Neodiprion lecontei: one gene and its partners. The protein of the gene in region 1 purifies or fractionates together with the protein of each later gene. This does not show direct contact. Links are inferred from orthologs where the notes say so. Each region holds a gene or a part of one and is shown on either strand. Other genes may lie near its edges. The genes, in order: transcriptional adapter 2B, transcription initiation protein SPT3 homolog, SAGA-associated factor 29 and transformation/transcription domain-associated protein.

The links.
Region 2: the proteins of transcriptional adapter 2B (region 1) and transcription initiation protein SPT3 homolog purify together in Drosophila melanogaster (affinity purification with mass spectrometry; 7 studies listed by BioGRID, with this or other methods). This does not show direct contact. The link is inferred for Neodiprion lecontei from reciprocal best matches to the Drosophila melanogaster genes Ada2b and Spt3.
Region 3: the proteins of transcriptional adapter 2B (region 1) and SAGA-associated factor 29 purify together in Drosophila melanogaster (affinity purification with mass spectrometry; 4 studies listed by BioGRID, with this or other methods). This does not show direct contact. The link is inferred for Neodiprion lecontei from reciprocal best matches to the Drosophila melanogaster genes Ada2b and Sgf29.
Region 4: the proteins of transcriptional adapter 2B (region 1) and transformation/transcription domain-associated protein purify together in Drosophila melanogaster (affinity purification with western blotting; 4 studies listed by BioGRID, with this or other methods). This does not show direct contact. The link is inferred for Neodiprion lecontei from reciprocal best matches to the Drosophila melanogaster genes Ada2b and Nipped-A.

Annotation. Positions count from the first base shown.
Region 1 is NC_060263.1:6,647,341-6,651,926, forward strand, and holds the start of transcriptional adapter 2B, read right to left. Parts: upstream 3,037-4,586; 5' UTR 2,785-3,036; coding exon 2,778-2,784; intron 2,680-2,777; coding exon 2,582-2,679; intron 2,536-2,581; exon of another isoform or gene 2,323-2,535; coding exon of another isoform or gene 2,293-2,322; intron 1,763-2,292; coding exon 1,703-1,762; intron 1,605-1,702; coding exon 1,463-1,604; intron 1,218-1,462; coding exon 1,000-1,217; intron 860-999; coding exon 630-859; intron 505-629; coding exon 273-504; intron 1-272. Other genes in the region: uncharacterized protein LOC107223641, read right to left, coding at 4,555-4,586. UniProt on the Drosophila melanogaster protein: Component of several Gcn5-containing histone acetyltransferase complexes that regulate nucleosome organization; involved in acetylation of histone H3, particularly on Lys-10 (H3K9ac) and Lys-15 (H3K14ac).
Region 2 is NC_060262.1:4,441,974-4,446,646, forward strand, and holds transcription initiation protein SPT3 homolog, read right to left. Parts: upstream 2,836-4,673; 5' UTR 2,370-2,835; coding exon 2,321-2,369; intron 2,156-2,320; coding exon 1,937-2,155; intron 1,826-1,936; coding exon 1,505-1,825; intron 1,154-1,504; coding exon 966-1,153; intron 882-965; coding exon 744-881; 3' UTR 728-743; exon of another isoform or gene 556-727; 3' UTR 526-555; downstream 1-525. UniProt on the Drosophila melanogaster protein: Component of the transcription regulatory complex SAGA, a multiprotein complex that activates transcription by remodeling chromatin and mediating histone acetylation and deubiquitination. The SAGA complex predominantly acetylates histone H3.
Region 3 is NC_060260.1:35,361,378-35,366,396, forward strand, and holds SAGA-associated factor 29, read right to left. Parts: upstream 3,214-5,019; 5' UTR 3,066-3,213; coding exon 3,058-3,065; intron 2,784-3,057; coding exon 2,729-2,783; intron 2,629-2,728; coding exon 2,371-2,628; intron 2,024-2,370; coding exon 1,862-2,023; intron 1,795-1,861; coding exon 1,566-1,794; intron 1,478-1,565; coding exon 1,284-1,477; 3' UTR 515-1,283; downstream 1-514. Other genes in the region: skin secretory protein xP2-like, read left to right, coding at 3,427-3,530, 3,647-3,689, 4,195-4,771. UniProt on the Drosophila melanogaster protein: Component of both the SAGA and CHAT histone acetyltransferase complexes, which both predominantly acetylate histone H3.
Region 4 is NC_060263.1:16,848,863-16,853,815, forward strand, and holds the start of transformation/transcription domain-associated protein, read left to right. Parts: upstream 1-1,941; 5' UTR 1,942-2,204; intron 2,205-2,395; coding exon of another isoform or gene 2,396-2,585; intron 2,586-2,684; coding exon of another isoform or gene 2,685-2,843; intron 2,844-2,913; coding exon of another isoform or gene 2,914-3,283; intron 3,284-4,341; coding exon of another isoform or gene 4,342-4,547; intron 4,548-4,606; coding exon of another isoform or gene 4,607-4,753; intron 4,754-4,831; coding exon of another isoform or gene 4,832-4,953. Other genes in the region: NACHT and WD repeat domain-containing protein 2, read right to left, coding at 902-1,054, 2,396-2,585, 2,685-2,843, 2,914-3,283, 4,342-4,547, 4,607-4,753, 4,832-4,953. UniProt on the Drosophila melanogaster protein: Part of the Tip60 chromatin-remodeling complex which is involved in DNA repair. Upon induction of DNA double-strand breaks, this complex acetylates phosphorylated H2AV in nucleosomes and exchanges it with unmodified H2AV.

The DNA of each region.
Region 1 (4,586 bases):
AATGTCTAGGTAAAGGTGTAAGCACCTTCTGTCAATCTGGTTTGATTCTGTATCTTTGAAGAGGAAAATAAATAGCGACAGAAGTATTTACTCTGTTCGACTTTCAAGGATCGGCCAGTGACTGAGAAATGATGTGACTAATGTTATTCAATGATAAACTTCCACACACTGAGTTTAGTATACAGTTACAAACATGTAATATTACAAGTTCTACAATTTTTACAATACCGAAAAGAGAGTAACAAGAAATAAAAATCCAAACGAGAACTTACAGATTTCTTTTCAGTCCAATGATCCGTCGTTTCTGTTTGACCTTGAGTCTGTGCCATGACTTGTTCGAAATGGGCACATTCTTCATGCCTGGTGATACCGTTCTCTCTGTAACGACTAAGCTCGGTTAGCCGTAGTCGGAGCTCTCGTTCCCTTTCCAAATTAGTCAAGAATTGTTCGTGCTCCTGCGCTGTGTAGAATTGGGCAAACGTTCGCATTCTATCCCGAAATTCTCTGTATGTCAAATAATGAGCAACAATGGAAATGAAAGACAAGCATAAATTCAAGGACATTTAATTTAACAGCAAATATAACAATTACCTGAGTGATCATAAATTGTGGGTTAATTCGTTTGTTACCTGTCTTCTTTGCTCTGTTTTTTCTTGATCGCTCTATCTTTTCTTGTCGAAGCAAAGAACGAAGAGACAAGTTGATAATCTCTAACGACACGTTTTCTTCTTGCTCGTTCACGTAAGTTATTTGTGTACATGTCAACTTGGGCTAGCTTTAGCGCAATGTCAAGGTCATCGTCTTCGGCAGGAGTGAGAAACAACGAAGAAACCAAAGACTCTGCCTCGTGTTTATAATCCTGTAGAAAAGAAAGAAGTTATTCATGTAACGAAGCTGTTGAAGATGAACGAAATTTTTTTTCCATATGCTGAACATACGATATATGGAAGATTTGTAGCGCGTTGCTAGAAATTGAGATACTCGCTGTAAATAACACACCCTTTCAAAATCATCCCGCTGTGGCATATAGCCGAGCTGAGCTGCTTCTTCTGGGGTGATATCTAACGGTGGCAGTCGCGAGGTCAAGTCTGGCGATAGTGGCCCATAATCAGAGCTAGTTTGGTCCGTCAGGTTTGGTCTATAACTTTCAGTCGAAGGCCATGTCTGTTTACCGATATTTCCATCAAGATATCTGGCGATGTATTCCTCTTTAGCCTCTGCATAAAGAAAAAAAAAAACAATCGCATGAATAAGTAGTATGTTATGTAGCAATGATTTAAAAGTGTTTGCAGGATATTTTCACTCAGTTCAAAGTTCCGCAGCAATCGCTGAGCTGATATTAATTATCATATTTTAAACAGGGGGGGCTTGGTATACGTTGTAGGTAAAAGTAATGAATTTTGCAAGAAAAGAAACCTGAATCTAAGAAATAAATTCAGCTACAAAAATAACGCTCTTTTACCATCAGGTGTTCTTGTTTCAATATGTTTACTTATATCCTCCCAATTTCCAAAACCAAACTGTTCAATCGCATCGAGAAGTCTGAGTTGTTCTCTCGCTGTCCAACTTCCTCTCCCGCTAAATATGCTAATTGTACCAGAATCCTGAAAAATAAACAGAATTAAATATAACGAGACATTATTACAAAACACCATGATAAAATATGCATGTAAAAATTTGTTGAGCTCAAAGAAATGCTTACCATAAATTGATAAGAATGGTCATTTTTGTGCTGTCCTATTTCAGCACCAGCAGAAAAACACTGTAAATGAAATCACTTTCATTGTGTGACAGTGTGTATGCTGAATTTTAATTGAAGTAAAGCAAAATTTTTCATCTACAAGAAGATAACAACAAATCTGCAGGATAAGTTACCACGTAGACTGTATACAAAGATTTAGGAACAAATGAAAAAGGCAAAACTGTTGTGCACGTAAGTTCTGTACAACATAATTGCTTTGCAAAAGATAATCAGGCTGAAAAGATGCGGTGAGAATCACATATCCAGAGATTTAACGCATTGGCGAGCACAACATTACAGCAAGCATTTATGATTAAACTGAAAATAATTTTCATTCTAGATGAATATCGGATTACATATTAAGAAAAACCATAGTTCACCGATTTTTGTTTCTCAACAGTAACGATATTTCCGATTGAGTAAATTATCCTAGTAAAATGTGTTATTTTGCAAAGAGAATAAGGAAGTTGTCAAGGTAAGAAGATTTGCTATCCAAACTAAATATCTTGAGAAATCGTGGATCCGTAACGAAGCGTAAATTAATTACACACATGTAGCGGCGTTGCGAATTTCCCGCTCATCGCTTGTTGCGATGTCGCAAATACAACGGTGACGAGCGAAATTATCGAAGCGCGTCGTCTTTCAAGGCCTGAGTCAAGGGTGGGGAAAGAGGGAGAGAGAAATAAAAATATTTGCCGTTAGCAGGAGGCAAAATCTGGCGAAAAGTTTGAAGGGGAGGTGGGCAGTCGGTCGCGAGGTCACATGACTCGACTCCCGAGCATCAGGGCTGAGGGCCCCCCAATCCCCATTCGTTTCGCCCCTGGGCCACTTACGACTTACCTGTAAGCACAGATCAAAGTCGGCACATTCCACGCATTTAACACGCAACCCAGCGATGTCCTCCTGGCAATATGTGCAATTGTACTTAGCGTAGAGATCTGAGAACAATATTTAGTCATTAATACGAACCGAGCTCGACTCAGTTCGGTTGGAATCGATCGAAAATGCAATCCTTACAACGAAGGGACCTACGTACCCGCCATTATTGTTCTATGGCGTTTATTTCCAGAACGATCGCTAGTGACGTCACCACATCCTAAGGTCAACCGAAAATAACCATAAACTATTACAGCGAATCACGCTCATTTTTTAAAACAATATCAAATCGAGTACACGATGTATAGTTGAAAGACACTTCGCTCATCCGTATTTATTTTTCGAACAAAAACCACCCGAAATATACTACCTGATTGAAAAAAAATGTTTACGAGTGTAGCGTCGTTTCGGAAATGCGCATGCGCTACGCTAACGCCCCTCGTTGCATCGCTCAGGAACGTACTATGTATGTATGGTACAAAACGCCTAGCTGCCAGCAACAATTTATTCCACAATTGCCAACCTGACCAATCCTATATTCGCACGATTCAAACGTCCGTTTTCGCCCCGACGCTTCTCGGAAAATGTCATAATTATCACCCTACGAACACGCGAGAGAAAAGGTTCAACGTTTACTTCGATTAAGAGTGAGTATTCTTATTAGTTCCAAGTTTTCAAAAAAGTTTATACATTCGTACTAATCACGTTGCGTTGATTTCGCGACAAAAGAAATTTCGTACTTCAGTTGTTGCTCAAAAGCGCAGCGCGACATAAAACGTCCCTGTTTTTTTATTAACTATTTTCTAATTTAAAGTATAATCCAGTATAATATTCATCGAAATGTCAATAGTCACAAGTTGTACGAGTAAAACTTCCGAGATTTCGTTTTTGCGATTTGTTTCGCTTGTCAAAATCTACCCCAAGTCGTATCCGAGCACATCATTAGGACGCTTGGACTTGCTGCGAAAGTCCAGCTCCTGTTCGGGCCCACGAAGATTCGAAGATACCCCCAAGTTTAAAGCGTTTAAGGAAAAGCAGGCAAAAATGCAGGTTCGATGTTAGCCTCCTCTCATTAGTTACAATAATTTGACTGTTACCATCACTTTAACCATTTGATCTTGAATTGTTTTTGTAGCAGGATAAGACTTGTAACTTTTGGGAAAATTAAAAGCAATTCATTGGTTGTTAACTGCCTTTCTTAATATTTTCAGTGTGACGACGGATATCCGATACATTTGAAAGGTGGTGTTTTAGATAAAATATTGTACCATGTTACTGTAGGTGGTGTTATTATAGGCCTTGCTCAAGGCTTTTGGTTTATTTATTGTTGTGCAACGAAGAAAGCCGTGGATTGAATTTTGTTAATCGTCGTTTGCAATTTGAATTGTGTAAAAGCAGTTTATCACTAATATTTATTGATGTTATTAACATGTTAACAACAGTTTTTAAAAGAAATAGATACAGTTATCTTTGAGAATGAATACACGTTTAAAGTTAAATGTCTTTACTTTTTGTAACACAATGATACACAACATTTCATTTCTTATATACATTTTCCACGATATATACCGTATGTACGATTATTCAGCTTACTTACTAAAGAATTTAGGAGCTCATTTTTAAGGCACTTTGAAAGTATTTGAATAAAAGAACTTCGTTTGTTTCAACTTTTATAACATATTTGATAATTTGGTGTAAACGACGGTGAAAAATATTCTGAGAAAAAATGAAACTTACAGACCATTCAAAGTTTGCTGATTCCATTTTTGATTCGGAAAAGTAGCATCAGAGCTACTCAACTGGTATTCAGGTTGAAATATAAGCAATGGTTCAAATTGTAAACTTTGGTATCACAGAAACATATTTACATATTTTTCTTGGCGCATTGCAATTCACTGGAAACAGTCTGTATTCACTAGTTATATATTATCATGGTATCAAGTATTCAAAACTTTGTTTTCATTCTGCT
Region 2 (4,673 bases), on another chromosome or scaffold:
TTCGATTGGACGACCATTTTCAAGTAGACAAGTTTTTTAAAGAGAAAATAGTTCTCAGGTGTTATTTCTTAGGCAATAATAAATTGTTACTGAAACAGTATTGAAACAATTTAAAAGAAATACTTTAAAAACCTCGACAAGCCGTAATTTATAAAATTAGGGCAGTTTGTAAGCGGTTGAATGTTTTAAAATGTTATCGATATGTTTAATAATAATGATAATTCGTCCAAACATAATTGACAAAATTGTATAGTTCTAATATAATAGATTTGTGGTCAATAATCAAAGGAGGAGGATACACAAATACACGTTGAATATACCTATATTGTAAATCATGACATATACTGTGATGCTGATAATGATCTTTGCATAATTGTAGATAAATTTTATTACACGACTGAAAAATAAAAAGAAAAAGAATATTGTAAGCATGTAAATCGTGAATTTTGTAAAATACGTAACAAGAAACTTCCAAAAGTAGTCATTACTTTTCTTTGTATTTTTATTCCAAATCTAGCGTTTTTCCTCAAATTATAATGTAGTACGTACGATGCTCTGTAATTTTAGAAATATACACTTGATATCATGATTATTGAGTTTAATGAGTAATATAGAACAAAATCGCAGTCATATATTGAAATATAAAACGGCCGTGGCTCGATAACAATAAATAAACTGAAGCTATTATCAACATCAACCCTGCAATTATTTTAATACAAGCTCGTACCTCCGCAGCCTATGTCTCAACAAGCAAGTAATTTTGGGTGCAGCGGACGCAGAGATGATCTGTAAAATGGCCCTGTAATATCCAGCTGTGGTGACCAATACCTCCTCAATGCCTCATTTATTTCCGACGGACTGATTGGCTTTATTACGACTCCCTGTAATCAAAGAGATTATATAATGGAACGCGGCCAATTATTTGTGACTCAGGTAAAGGAGAAGAAATCCATAATCTCGTTTACCATATTATGCTGATAAGGCTTGTAGGTATAGGGATTACAGTGGTTTAGTTTCAGCCTTTCAATAGCGTCTCCATGAATCTTACTCTGATCTTGTCGGACCACAAGCGCCAAGTCTATAATTTGCGCGACAGTTTCGTAAGCGAGATAGCTCAAAATTTGGTAGCCTTGTTTTGATATTTTCACATCATCTGTAAGCGTTGAAGATTCGATTTATGATTAGATACTGAACAGAAAAAAAATATAAGTATATACTAGAATGGTTTTTTTTTTTTCTTCTTACATAAACTTCGAAAAGTTAGTTTTGAGCCTCAAATTAAGCCTCGTGAAACCGAAGCTCGGTAGCAAAATTCTAAAAGTTTAGTTCGAGTGTTTGAAAAATTCAAACCGGATGAGTAACGTTTTAGAATTTTGCTATAGAGTTCCAGTTTTACGAGACTTCGTTTGAGGCGAAAAACTAACTTTTCAAAGGGTACATAAGAAAAAGAAACTTAAAAAAACCAACCTGATCTATACACATAATATGGTTGAATTCACTTTACCATCCGGGCATACCCAGTCGCTGAATTTGTGTCGCTGTTTGTTATTTGTGAAGGAAGCGTGCCGTGCCTTTGAGTATTCCACATATTGAATTTCATCCATTTTTCTAGTGACCATCTCTGCCCTGATCAGTCTGTTCTGTTTAACGATATCAAAAGTGCTTCTATTTTCGAGTAATTCCCCTGTATTGTCGATCAATTGAATGAAATCATGATAAGGACGTTTTCGCTTTGTCAAAACTTCGCCACCGTCAGCCTCGAAAAAATTCCCCATACTCTCTGGTTGAACCGTCTTGTGCATTATTGCTCGCAGCTCTTTTACTTCTGAAACAAAAAGAAAACAGATCAAATTGAAGGGATGTATTTAGTTTACAGAGATAGATTCACAACGTACCAAAATTAATAAGACATCAATGTAAGAAAAATACCACTTGCCTAGGTACTTCAACAGCCGTTGAACCTTGACCTTATCTTTGCGCATGAGAAAAATAAAATCTTCAGGTGTTATTATTCTATTCCCTCGCCTATCAGCAACTTCGCACGCCCTGTAAACAATTGCTCGCATTTGGTGCAGTACGACATCCTCGATTATTTTTGCTGACTCTAACAGCGGGGCTGAACTGTCGCCAAATCCATGCATCATTTGACGGATTTCTAACCAGAAAATAAGCATCAGCAATGTGGAGAAAATTGGATAATAGATAATGAACGAGCCTGCGGTATGGATTTCATATTCTTATGTCACAAACATAACCAACAGAATTCTACCTTCTTTATATTTATGTATACGTATATAATAAATTTATATATTTCACTCACCCGCTGTGTAGTTGATTGGTTCATTTTTAACGTCAGGTACACTTGTCATTTTTAAAGTAATTTTAATGTTTGTTTACGTTTTGTTGTTTCTTTACAAACACAAATTGCTAGTAGCAGACATCACATCGGCAGGTGTTCCAACCACTCTTGTTCCAAGTCTGTTCTAGGGTAGTAACCCTAGAATCTAAATGTTACTGGAGTACAGCGAAATCTAAAATAATAACGGCGCCTAGTGTCAGGCAGTTCTCATTACATGCAGTCATTACATATTCTGTGTCCAGTAGCCGCACATAATGCTATCTATCATCATAATTGCAAGACTTGCTATGCTGTACCCTTCGCTTTTTGCTAAATTCATTTCTGATATTTCCTGCTCTAGTGGGCAACCGTGCAGCTCAACCTTGAGTGGGGACTGTTTAAAGGTATTGTCGTTGTTTCGGCAAAGTATCGAATTAGTCAAATGTGTGTCTCGCGACACTCAAAATCGTCCTCACGCATGGACGCGCACTCGCGTGCAATGTTTACTAATTGCCGTCTCTGCGTCAAATCTCGCCGCTTGCCAGTCTCGCGACTCAAAACAGCAGCTGTATCTCATGTATTGTCTACTGTCTCAATATCATGTATGTGTGTAATCTATGTATTCTCTCGCTCTGTAAACCGTCAGTCTGCGCAACGTTCTCTTGCGATACTGTCTGTATCGCCGCATCAAGATCGATGAAAACCTCGCTTATCGTTAATCATTATCACTCTCCATGTCAACATCATTTCGTTTCATTTACTCTTGTCCTCAATCACTAGTTCGCGGATGCTATGTCGATGATCCATATCTTTTTGCCATCTCTCTAAACAGAATGGTATAAAATATTTTATTTTGCATATTTAATTTTATCCTTTAAAAAAATCCTTAACCCCTTGTAACCCCTTGTGACATTTCTGTAACAAACTAAATAAGATCCTAAAAAATCCATACGGAACGTATTAATGACAAGTCCTTAAATGACATTTATTTTAAAATTTGGTTAAAATAACGGTGCCATGGCCACCATTATGCGGCTGCAGCCGTCTGCTTGTGATGTTCAATTGAAACATCCGCATTAGCGCAAGGGACACAAAGAAAACTGCAGAAAACCTTTGGTCCGTGTGGCTGCCGGACCGAGTTCAAACTTCAACCCGCCAATTCGGCGCCTGAATGACGTGGCCCGTCTTACAATTTTGGCGAGCTACCGTGAAAGAGGCTGGGGATTTGAACTCAGATCCTCCCGTTCCGTAGTCTTTGACGTTACACGCTACGCTACTACGGCTGGTAATATAAATTAATTGTTTGGAGGGCAAAAGCCCAAAGATTTTATTGATGGACTATTTGAAAATTGAAAATTTAAAAATCCAACTTATTTATCTGATAGTGCAGCAAAAAGATTTATAAAAGTTATATGTATGTTATCGGATTATTTATATATTAGTATGGCATTTAATAAAGGTTGTAATGATGATATGAGTGAACCATCGTGATGTCTTTTATTTTTCTGACACTACCACATGTGCACGCGGACGAGTGGATTTCGCAACGTGAATTCTCAAAGACGAGAGCATACTTTTCAAATGTTTTGTGACGATATGATTCCTTATTCAAAATTGTTGTGGGTGAAATAGCAGTGGAAGATTACAGTTAAATCGAAAGTAACGAACAAAATTATTATAAAATATTCCGTCGTCAGCTGATACACGTATTCACACACTCTCAACGTCAACATGGCTACGGCTGAAACGCCTGCGATAGCATTTCGCTTGTTTAACGATTCACGGCACTTAGATACCACTGGAATTTATTTCACCCACAACAAAACAGCAGCTCAAATAGGTTAATTGCAGCTCCGTTGTTGGTTAAGCTCTATTTACTGATATTTTACGTTGCAAAAATTCAGTGATACTAGATGGCGTCATCATAACTTTTGGACTTGTCGCTGAGCTAGCGAGGCCTCGCGTGACGTCATAGCTAGCAATTTGAATCGTATTTTTCATCAATGTTTCTTTATGACGTTATCACGTCAAACTATCGTCCGTAAACCGACTTTACAGACAACCAATTTTTTTTTTTTTTTTATTATTATATAAAAATGGTGCTGAAGTCGTCCCTTCGAAAAAAGTTGACCTTGCTGCTGTTAATGGATTTGGTGCTTCACTTATCTGAAATAAAAAAAATTAAAAATGACCCTTAATTATTATGAGTATATCTATCGCAGGAACTAAAATGAAGAAAAAAAAATAAAAAATGATAAAATGGCATATTGTCAAAATTAGAAGTCGGAAAGCAGCCTGATTTTAACAACGTTTTGCCTATAAAAAAATTATAAAT
Region 3 (5,019 bases), on another chromosome or scaffold:
AGTTTAACGTACAAGTACTATCTATTGGTCCAGATCATTTGTCTTACAGCGATTTGTAAAAATATAAAATACGAACTCATGTCACTCATGAAATAAAATATCTGTCATTAACTTCATCATAATTCCAAATATTAAATAATTGTCAGGCACATAATTATTCAGGTATTGTTTTATGTATACAGTGAACGCCCACGTCGGTGACACCTTTTTCATATATTATACCTAAAAATGAGAGTGTGCTGGGAATCATAAGTTTTTTTGAAAAAAAAAAAAAAAAAAAAAAAAACAAGATATCCATATGGTAATTCACGCACTGAAGCCTAAATGAAACAAGCAGATAAAATAAAAATGAAAAACAAATTCATTGAACTACAATCTGAATGAATAGAATTATATCTCATAGTTTATAACTAATAACGAGTTAATCAGTTCATTGACCAGTTTTGTATGCATTTGGCGAAAGAAGTTGCTTTAAAGTTCTTTTTAGTTGAACATATAGTTTTTCAAAAGCAACACAGTTTCATGTCATTGCAACTTTGATTAAGTAGGAACGTTTTAAGGATAGATTTTTAATTTGATTTAAAGTTTAAAAAAAAGCGTTGAATACTACTTTGTAAGATGAGGATTGATCGCTATTACCGATATTTATACATAATGTACTTCCAAGTGCGTTTTGAGCACTAAAAAGTTCTGGTGTTCGTATTAGAGACCGAAAGTCTAATTAAACCCACATTACTCCCATGTCGCTAAGTATTTTGCAGGTGCGGTGCAGCATCACCTTCGATTCAGCGACATAACACGTATTCATGAACAATTTTTATTTCTCACTAGGAAAGAAAAATAAGAAAAGAAAATAGATAAGAGGAAAAAATATGTTAAAAAATAAATGTAAAATGATTGAATGGACAAATAAAGAATCCTTATGCGTAATTTTGAGTAACTGAAATAATAACTTTGATAGTATTTTGGAATGAAAAGCAAAGAATGTATATGTGCGCAATCTGTATAAAATGCATATACATCCTGGCACATAAAATTTCTCCTGTTTATTGATTATATACAGTTTGATGATATTACAAATATCTAATAACTAAAGCATCAATTTTTGTTCATTTAGCTACGTAATTTCTTCTTGTAACGAAAAAAAAATTTGATGGCAGTGAGATGATTGCATGATTTGAATTGTACAGCATCTCAATTAGACGTATATCTGCATTATTGCTTAGAAATTTCCGGTGTCATTACGATTCGTTACGGATTATAAATAATAACTCTGCTTCTCTTCAAGACTGACTTTTATTTTTCTTACTCTCCTTTATGGATATCACGTAACGTTGCGCAACATTTAAAGGTGGGGAGTATCCGTCCGCATATGTTGCATCTTCGAATAGTACTTCGTACTCTTCAGTTGCGGTAGTCGGTAGCTGATTAACAACAGCCTTGTAGAAGCATGTCGTTTGGGGATAGAGCGCCATAACTTTAAAAGCAAAATGATACTGCATTATAGAGCTGGGAATACAACTGTTATAACCGTAGTGAGTTATACCACAAGCATATAATCATACCTATAGATCCTTTGGGAAATAATGCATGGGCGTCGGTCTCCGGGTTTGCTCGCATCAGAGGCAAAGGGACAACACGACGCTTTGAAAGAACATGCCTATCTTTTTGTTCCTCATCTATGTCATCAACTTCATATTTACTCGTCGTTGGATTAAATTGAACGACTTCAGCAAGAATCCAATTCTCCTCCTCTTCGGATCCTTTTACCAGCGCGGCAACCATATCTCCCATCTCAAAAATATCATCAATATCTCATATGGCGTAAATTGAAATATTTTACAAACTATTACCTTCGTACCTTTGCTATGTACGTAACTTCAGCTGGAATTGCGCCACATAGTGGCGGTGGTTTTGCTCCAGGTGACTTACCCACATATAGTGGTAGAGTTTGTGCAGAGCTCAACAACATTTTCATCAATGCACCTCGTCGTATCGTTTCCTTGTTTCCTGCGTTACGCGCCTGTATAAGAACAAAGGTTTTAGTCATACTTTTCCAGCAATTGAAAAATTGGTAAACTGCATGAATAATATATCGCTAGCAAGCAGCTGTTTTCCAAGTGTTTCACATAGGTATGTACAAAGTATCTAGAGAGTATATTTTTGTCTGCAATGACATTATGGTGAATTAGAATCTGAATAATTTGGTGCCTCAGTTGTTCAAAAGAATGCAAAATTGTTACACATAATTGGAAGGACTTTATCTATGATTATGGCAATATTCTATCTGAATTTTATATTTCCCCTTGGATTTTTGGACAATCCCTGGTTTTCTGAATTTAATAATCCGTTCCTTTCACATTGACATACTTGAATTCTACGCTCATTTCGAATTGCCCTAATTTCGTTAATTTTTGCCAGCGCTTTTCGTATCAGCTCCTCTTCTTGTTGAGCATCAGAGACAGCAGCGCTATATAAACTTTTTAATTTCTGTTGATAGTAAGGAGAGACTTTATCATCTGGTGTTATTTTGTCATGAGCCTTGGTGATATTATTTAAATTATGTTCAGATCGATTGCGTTCTTCTTCTATCTCAAATATTAAATTGTATATGTTCTTGAGCCGTTCCTGCAACATCCATTGTTATTCATATGATATGAAACATTTGACAAAACTGATTTGAAATTATTTTGATGATGAGTTTGATTTTTGAATATGCTGCTGGTACCTGTATTTGATGTGCCGCTGCATCAGCTGTGAACGGCATCTTCGAAGGAGAGCTCCTGAAATGGTATTTGAGAAGTTCAGTGTTAAATTACCTTTTGATTTTAAAATAACCTAGATAGATAACCTAGATGTAGATGGTTTAAGAAAGTGAAAACAAAACACTTTGAAACTGAAAAAACAAGGATTCTGTATGAAACGGTAGGTCTGGTGGAGTTTTTCTTCTTGCTTGAACCAAAAGCTATTCAATGCTGTGAAGTCGCTATGTACTCTTTGTTTTGTTTACATAAATATGACAAACTATATTTAGAGGTTAGAATAGTTAAAGTCAACCTTAGCATTAAGAGCAACTGGAAGTGATTTTTATCACGTCACATGTAGCTATGTGTCAGTTTGTTTGGAGCAATCAGTGACTGCTTCGCCTGAATCATGATCGACGTAAATGAATAATTGCATAGATTAGGAATAGCATATCTTCTATACTATAAACACACGTACATGAGCTGAAGTTACTTGGCGCAGATCTTTATGAAAATATTATTTCTCTCCGACTGAGTCATAACTTGAAAATTATGCTATAATTCCAGTACACTAATAATTATATATCCATGAAGAGATATTCACAACTTTAACTCAGCGCTGTTGTGGCGCGTGAATATTATGAATTGTGAGACGATTGGTAAATGAAAACCAAACTGAATGATGAAAGCAGCATTGCCGGCTGAGGCGTATGTTAAAATTACCGAACAAAATTTATCATCACGACTACCTAATTGTCAGCCGGTCATACAGAAAGCAGTTTGGAGGTAAATTCAAAATTGAAAATGATCTTCGCGGACGAGTTTTACGTTTATTTTATGCAGTTTATTCGAATGACGACAATTTAGTGCAGTTTATTATAAGAATTCTTATGGCCTCATAGGTATGGAAACGAGAATTTAGCAACTAATCCTCTTCACCGAGCGGTAATGTGATTAGATTTTAATTCAGTTCTTCTTGGAACCATTAACTGAAGAAAATAAAGACGGATACCTCTGGGTAAATTTTTGTAACTAGTTTTCAGTAAAAATTTTTATCATCCAACTGTCTCAGAACGGCAGCATTATTAGCTGACGTTAACTGGAAAATATATATTTAGTCAACGGCAGACCATCGAAGGGCTCAGCCGCTTGAGTCTTGAATCGGCAGGAAAGATAAAGTGCGTATTTCTTTCTGACATGTGAAAACTAAAATCATTATACATCATACATCATATCATCATACATCATACATCATACATAGTATTAAAGTTTAAAACCAAAGTTTGGATGTTCGGATCTTCGGATGTTCAGAAAGTGACGTCACTCAAAATTTTTTTTCTCTCGACGTCATCGATCTATATAGCCGAAAATCAGCTGGCCGAATTCCTCAGTCTGGAAATAACCGCGCAGTAGAGCGGACGCATGAGAGTCGCGCTCCGCAAATTTCGAGTACCGGGTACTCTACTTCCGTGGTTCCTGCACTCCGGGTCCGCTACCTGGTGAAACTCGACTTCCAGGTCAAGTGCTGCGTAGTTTCTGGGCTCCAGGTCCGCTACGTGTTGAAACTCGACTTCCGGGACCAGCGCTCCGTAGTTTCTGCGCTCCAGGTCCGCTACCTAGTGAAATTCAACTTCCGAGATCAGCACTCCGTAGTTCCTGCGCTTCAGGCCCACTACCTAGTGAAATTCAACTTCCGAGATCAGCGCTCCGTAGTTTCTGCGCTCCAGGCCCGCTACCTGGTGAAACTCGACTTCCAGGTCAAGTGCTGCGTAGTTTCTGGGCTCCAGGTCCGCTACGTGTTGAAACTCGACTTCCGGGACCAGCGCTCCGTAGTTTCTGCGCTCCAGGTCCGCTACCTAGTGAAATTCAACTTCCGAGATCAGCACTCCGTAGTTCCTGCGCTTCAGGCCCACTACCTAGTGAAATTCAACTTCCGAGATCAGCGCTCCGTAGTTTCTGCGCTCCAGGTCCGCCACGTGTTGAAACTCGACTTCCAGGACTAGAATGCCGTAGTTCTGGCTCTCCAGGTCCGTGACCTGATGACTTTTGACATTCCGAACTAATATTCAAGTTTACAAGTTTGATTATTGAAAACGTCATATTTTGTGCTATCAACCCAAAATACATGCTTCAGATAACATTTTGAATCGGTAAAAAAACCGAACAACCAGGATCAACAAATTGCAATTAATGAGTGGTTGGCATTGTATACATAGAAATACATAACAATAACGTCGTTCAATTGGAGCTAACATTGCTGTGCGTAGTGTTTCAA
Region 4 (4,953 bases), about 10 Mb from region 1:
AAAAATTAAGTAGAATGTTTCACCACAGGGTGAATGTCTTGTGGAAGTAAAATGCGATCGATCAAGAGTCTCTCCTGAAATCTTAATGCAAATATACATATAAGAAAATCTGGAACTGAAGTTTTTGTTATTTTTTTTTGTTGGATAATATATATATAGATATACATATATATTTATTTGTAAAACATTATTAAAGAGAAAGAGAGCATATAGTGTGTTGTCACGTAAAATTTAAATTAATTATAAATAGTATCTTTGTATTGCAGAACGGTTGTTTTGTTGTGAATATTTTTTTTCCGCTACATTTTGTTTCTTCAAATGCATTGATCTGAACCCACATCATCGATTCAATTACGCAGCTACACCGAGTTATATCCTGCGACATTGTCATCAGCCGTTGTCGCCGTCTTTGTCATCCTTATTAAAATGCAAGGTTATTACATGTACCAAGGCGAATGGCAAAATATTTACGAAGTGTAAACATTTGAAATATTGAAGTTTGAAGGAAGCGTGAAAAAGTGAGAGAAAGTGAAAGAGAGAATTAGAATAAATAAATGAAAAAATAAACAAATAATTATACAAATTCGATATTCGCTAAAAGACAGAAATAAATATTACTATAAATTCCGTATTTCATGTCTTAAAATTACAATTGCATTTTCGTTTCTTTCCCTTAGCATATTGTATATAATTTATGAATGTCTATAAATTCATCTCAATATATCAACGATTATAATAATTTATCAGTTTGCCAATAATATGTATATTATCTATGCTCAACTCTTAGCTTGAAAATTATGCACCAGGCATAACACGCCAATATAAGTTTTGCTACAAGCCAGGTATTCTCATTGCCGATAACTAGATGGAACGAGTACGAATCATATAATTGTAAGGCAGCCTACTGATCCGCCTCTTCATCAGTTGCATCGTTTTCCTCGACAAATGCATTGTTCTTCCTCACAACGTGCACTAGATCGTGCGTTACCCTCGCTATTCTAGCCGCCGCCTTGAATTTTGTCGCTGCTCGCTGCTTCTCCATCTTCTTTTTCCACTGAAAGTAAAAATTACATAATTAATAATATACAGGTTGGCTGTACACATGATTTGAATTTAATTTCGTTTCGCGGTTTTGAAGACGCGCAACTCGAAATGAGATATATGTATATGTATATATATATATATATATATATACGCATATTATACTCTTTGGCGGAACGAAGTTACCGACCGTACGGTCAGGACCGTATTTGTACGGTAATTTCGCCTCCTATACGGACACGCTAAATGTACAGTCATGGAAAAATTTTAGGAATTTAGGTCATTTTTTGGCTAGCCTCTGATATTGTAAAAGAATCAAGTACAGAAGTATAAACGGTCTCAGTAATTCACATTCCTGGTTATATTAGTTCAATTATTCTCCAAGACTCCAGCAACTGCTTCGTGTAATTGAAAAATTCACAACCTTTAGCGTTAGTGTGAAATATTTTTGAACGTAAAACTAACAATAATGTGGTTGAAACTTATCTGGTCCTTGAGAAAAGAAGCAACATTGTGGCAATTGTACGACCATAAAATATAAAGAACAAAAATGTACTCCGCGAAATCTTTGTACGGTCCTGAAATTTCAAAGTACGATTCATTTTCACATCGAGTACGACTTGTCGCCACCAGAGGGTTGCCAACACTGGGCCGGGAGCATAGACTTATAAAGATAGACTTAGCGCGCTTATGAGCCGCTTGAAGGCGGTAGAGGAGAATGAGGCGAAATTATACCCCTATATCTATAGCTGTTCCACTTCCACTGCTCCGTTGTCTTCCACCACGACGCCGATTGAAAAGCGAGAGCAGTACTCCCGGTATATCTCTGTCCTTTATATGTAATTGTCAGTGCCTCTTATAGGAACGCTCAGTCTATCGTTATAAGTCTATGGCCGGGAGGCGAACGAAGCAGATGGAAGATGCGAGTGCAAGTTATGTCGCACAATTTCGCGGCGTTCGGAGCCTGTACGGTATATTTGCGTTTTTATGTTCAATAAACAAACAAACATAGTGCGGAAAAGTAGACAATTGTGTTGTGCGATGTGAATTCGCTTGTGAAGGTGTGAACGAAATGTTTCGGAAGTACGAGAGACTTTCAACTATGTGAAAGGAGTTACCGAGATCGAGGTTAGGGTCTGCCGTGCGTCATCATACCGAAGAAGGTTAGTAACTATGTTATGTCGCTTCATTTCACCCACGATTCAATCCGAATTTTCACCCCTGCTCAATCTCCGATCTCGCGACGAATATTATAACACCTTTTTGTATATTCTAACTTCATCTCGCAATTTTTTTCTCCGTCGCGTTCATAACCTCTAATAAACATGCGCTTTTCTTTATCATCTCGTTTCACCTGCTCGTCTCGCGACGGTAAGTTCAACAAGTAATCCTTCATTTCTGGTTTCTGCGGGTCTGCGATTGCCAGCACCGATACACATCCATCAACGGTCCCCAGTACTATGCTTTTTCCATCGTACGTGCTGTCGATTGCGCTCAATTCTGCTTGGACTCTGTAGTTGGCTATCATCTCGCAGTCTGAAGATCTGTGGGAATAAAAATGGAATTAAAGCATTATTTATTGTTGAAGTAAATCATCTTGTTATGTATTTGTCAGAACTATTACTTTTGAATGGTTTCTTTACCTGAATACTCTAATTGTTTTGCGACCACTGTGATAGTAGAGTACGTAGTCATCCGTTCTGTTGAACATTGAAATGACGGTGAAAACACCCTCAGCAACTTTTGGTATGTAGGTCTTGACGGTAGTTCCTTTCTTCAGTTCGATGAGATCGAGACCACCCCTGTTTAAAATAAAAATTACATAAACTGCCACGAGATAAGGAATTGGTAATTGAACTACAAATTTTTTACCTGCTGGGAGCATATAAAGTGTGTTTGCCATCCTTGCTGATATTCCCGCTCCACTTGGGCACCGATCTGATGATTTTCTTCTTGTTTATGTCCATGATGCTTCCTTTATCCGAGCCGATTATACCAACCCAATGCGCACGGTGTGGCATTGGTACTATGCTTGTTATGTCTTTGAGTCCCGGTATTTTAACCGGTATTCTATTGACCAGGACCCCTGTTTTTGCGTTGTAAACAATCACACAGTCTCGGTTACCTTTGTCAGCTGCCGGTACGACTAGGTTCGCACCATCCGAGGTCAGAACAGCTTGTCTGAACGGTACTCCTGTTTGACTTTTCACTGGATATTCCAACGAGAACATTGTTCTTCCATCTATTGAGTAGAGTTAAAATTAGTTTCAATTTGGTTCCTTATACACTGGATGTAGTAGACTTTACACGCTGATCTTTGTGAACCTAGCACCCGACTTGAAAAAACCTAACTATTTTTTTGTTGATTCTTGTAGGTTTTTGTAGGTAGTTGTTTGTAGTAAGAATGATTTCGTTTGTAGTAGCGCCAAAAAAAAATATAAGGGGTTGAAAAAATGTCTGCACCCCATTTTGAAAAAAATCGAATTTGTCGGTAGTTTTCCGTACAGAATCGTTTGTAGTTGATTGTAGTGAAGATATTTTACTTTGTAGTAAAAAGGAAAGAAAAATACATTTTTTTTTTTTTTTTTTTATTTATAGCTAGAATTTCTGTGGCCCTGCTGTCAACTAATGTTTCGGAATCTTTTGCAGTTGTTTGTAGTACAATTTTTTTCGTTTAAAATTCCTCCAAAATTTACTACAAACGTCCTACTCGCTTCGGAAACGTTTGTAGTTGTTTGTAGTACTGATTTTTTCGTTTGTAGTTCCTTGGAAATTTACTACAAACATCCTACTCGCTTCAGAATCGTTTGTAGTCGTTTGTAGTACCGATTTTTTCGTTCGTAGTTCCTTGGGAATTTACTACAAACGTCCTACTCGCTTCAATATCGTTTGTAGTTGTTTGTAGTACCATTTTTTTTGAGGAATTTTAAACGAAAAAAATTGTACTACAAACAAATACAAAAGATTCCGAAACATTAGTTGACAGCAGGGCCACAGAAATTCTAGCTAAAAAAAAACAAACTATTTTTCTTTCCTTTTTACTACAAACGAAAATATCTTCACTACAATCAACTACAAACGATTCTGTACGGAAAACTATCGATAAATTCGATTTTTTTCAAAATGGGGTGCTGACATTTTTTCAACCCCTTATATTTTTTTTTTTTTGCGCTACTACAACCGAAATCATTGTTACTACAAACAACTACCTACAAAAACCTACAAGAATCAACAAAAAATAGTTAGGTTTTTTCAAGTCGGGTGCTAGGTTCACATAGGTTACACGCTGTTTTCGATTACCTGGAATATTTCTGACGACAAGAGTAGCCGTTGTTCTAACGCTTTCAACGCCCGGAGGATTGCTCGGTCTTGATACAGCCAGGAATTTGCTGGTCTCAGGAATCAGCGTAAGCTGGCGTACGCCTGGCTGCTCTTCCTTAAATAAGACTTGTTCTGTTATTCTGTTCCATATCAAAACGTTTCCAGACTCGGTGGAGATGATATACCTGAAAATTTTTCCAAGGTATTATCACATCTTTGACAGTGGTATATATAGTCTACCCACTTTCCATTGTGTGTGATGCAGGCATGAGTCACTATCGCTCCCAGTGGGCTGTCAGCCAATTTGGAAATCAGACGTCCTGATTGGAGATTCCAAATCCCAACGCAGCCTCTGGTGACTGTAGCAGCCAAGTTGCAGTGCTCCGCAAGGCTGTTGGTGTATTAAAATGATGTTACATAGGTTTAAGTGAATATTTAGGGTCAGAGGGATGTTGAAGATTATTGTCACCTGATCGAGTCTATCTGTAGCTCGTGTCTGTCGATAACGTGAACCTGTTCGAATATATTGTTGATATTCCAAACCTTCACGCTTCTGTCTATACTCGATGTTATAACGCTGTTCCAATTACC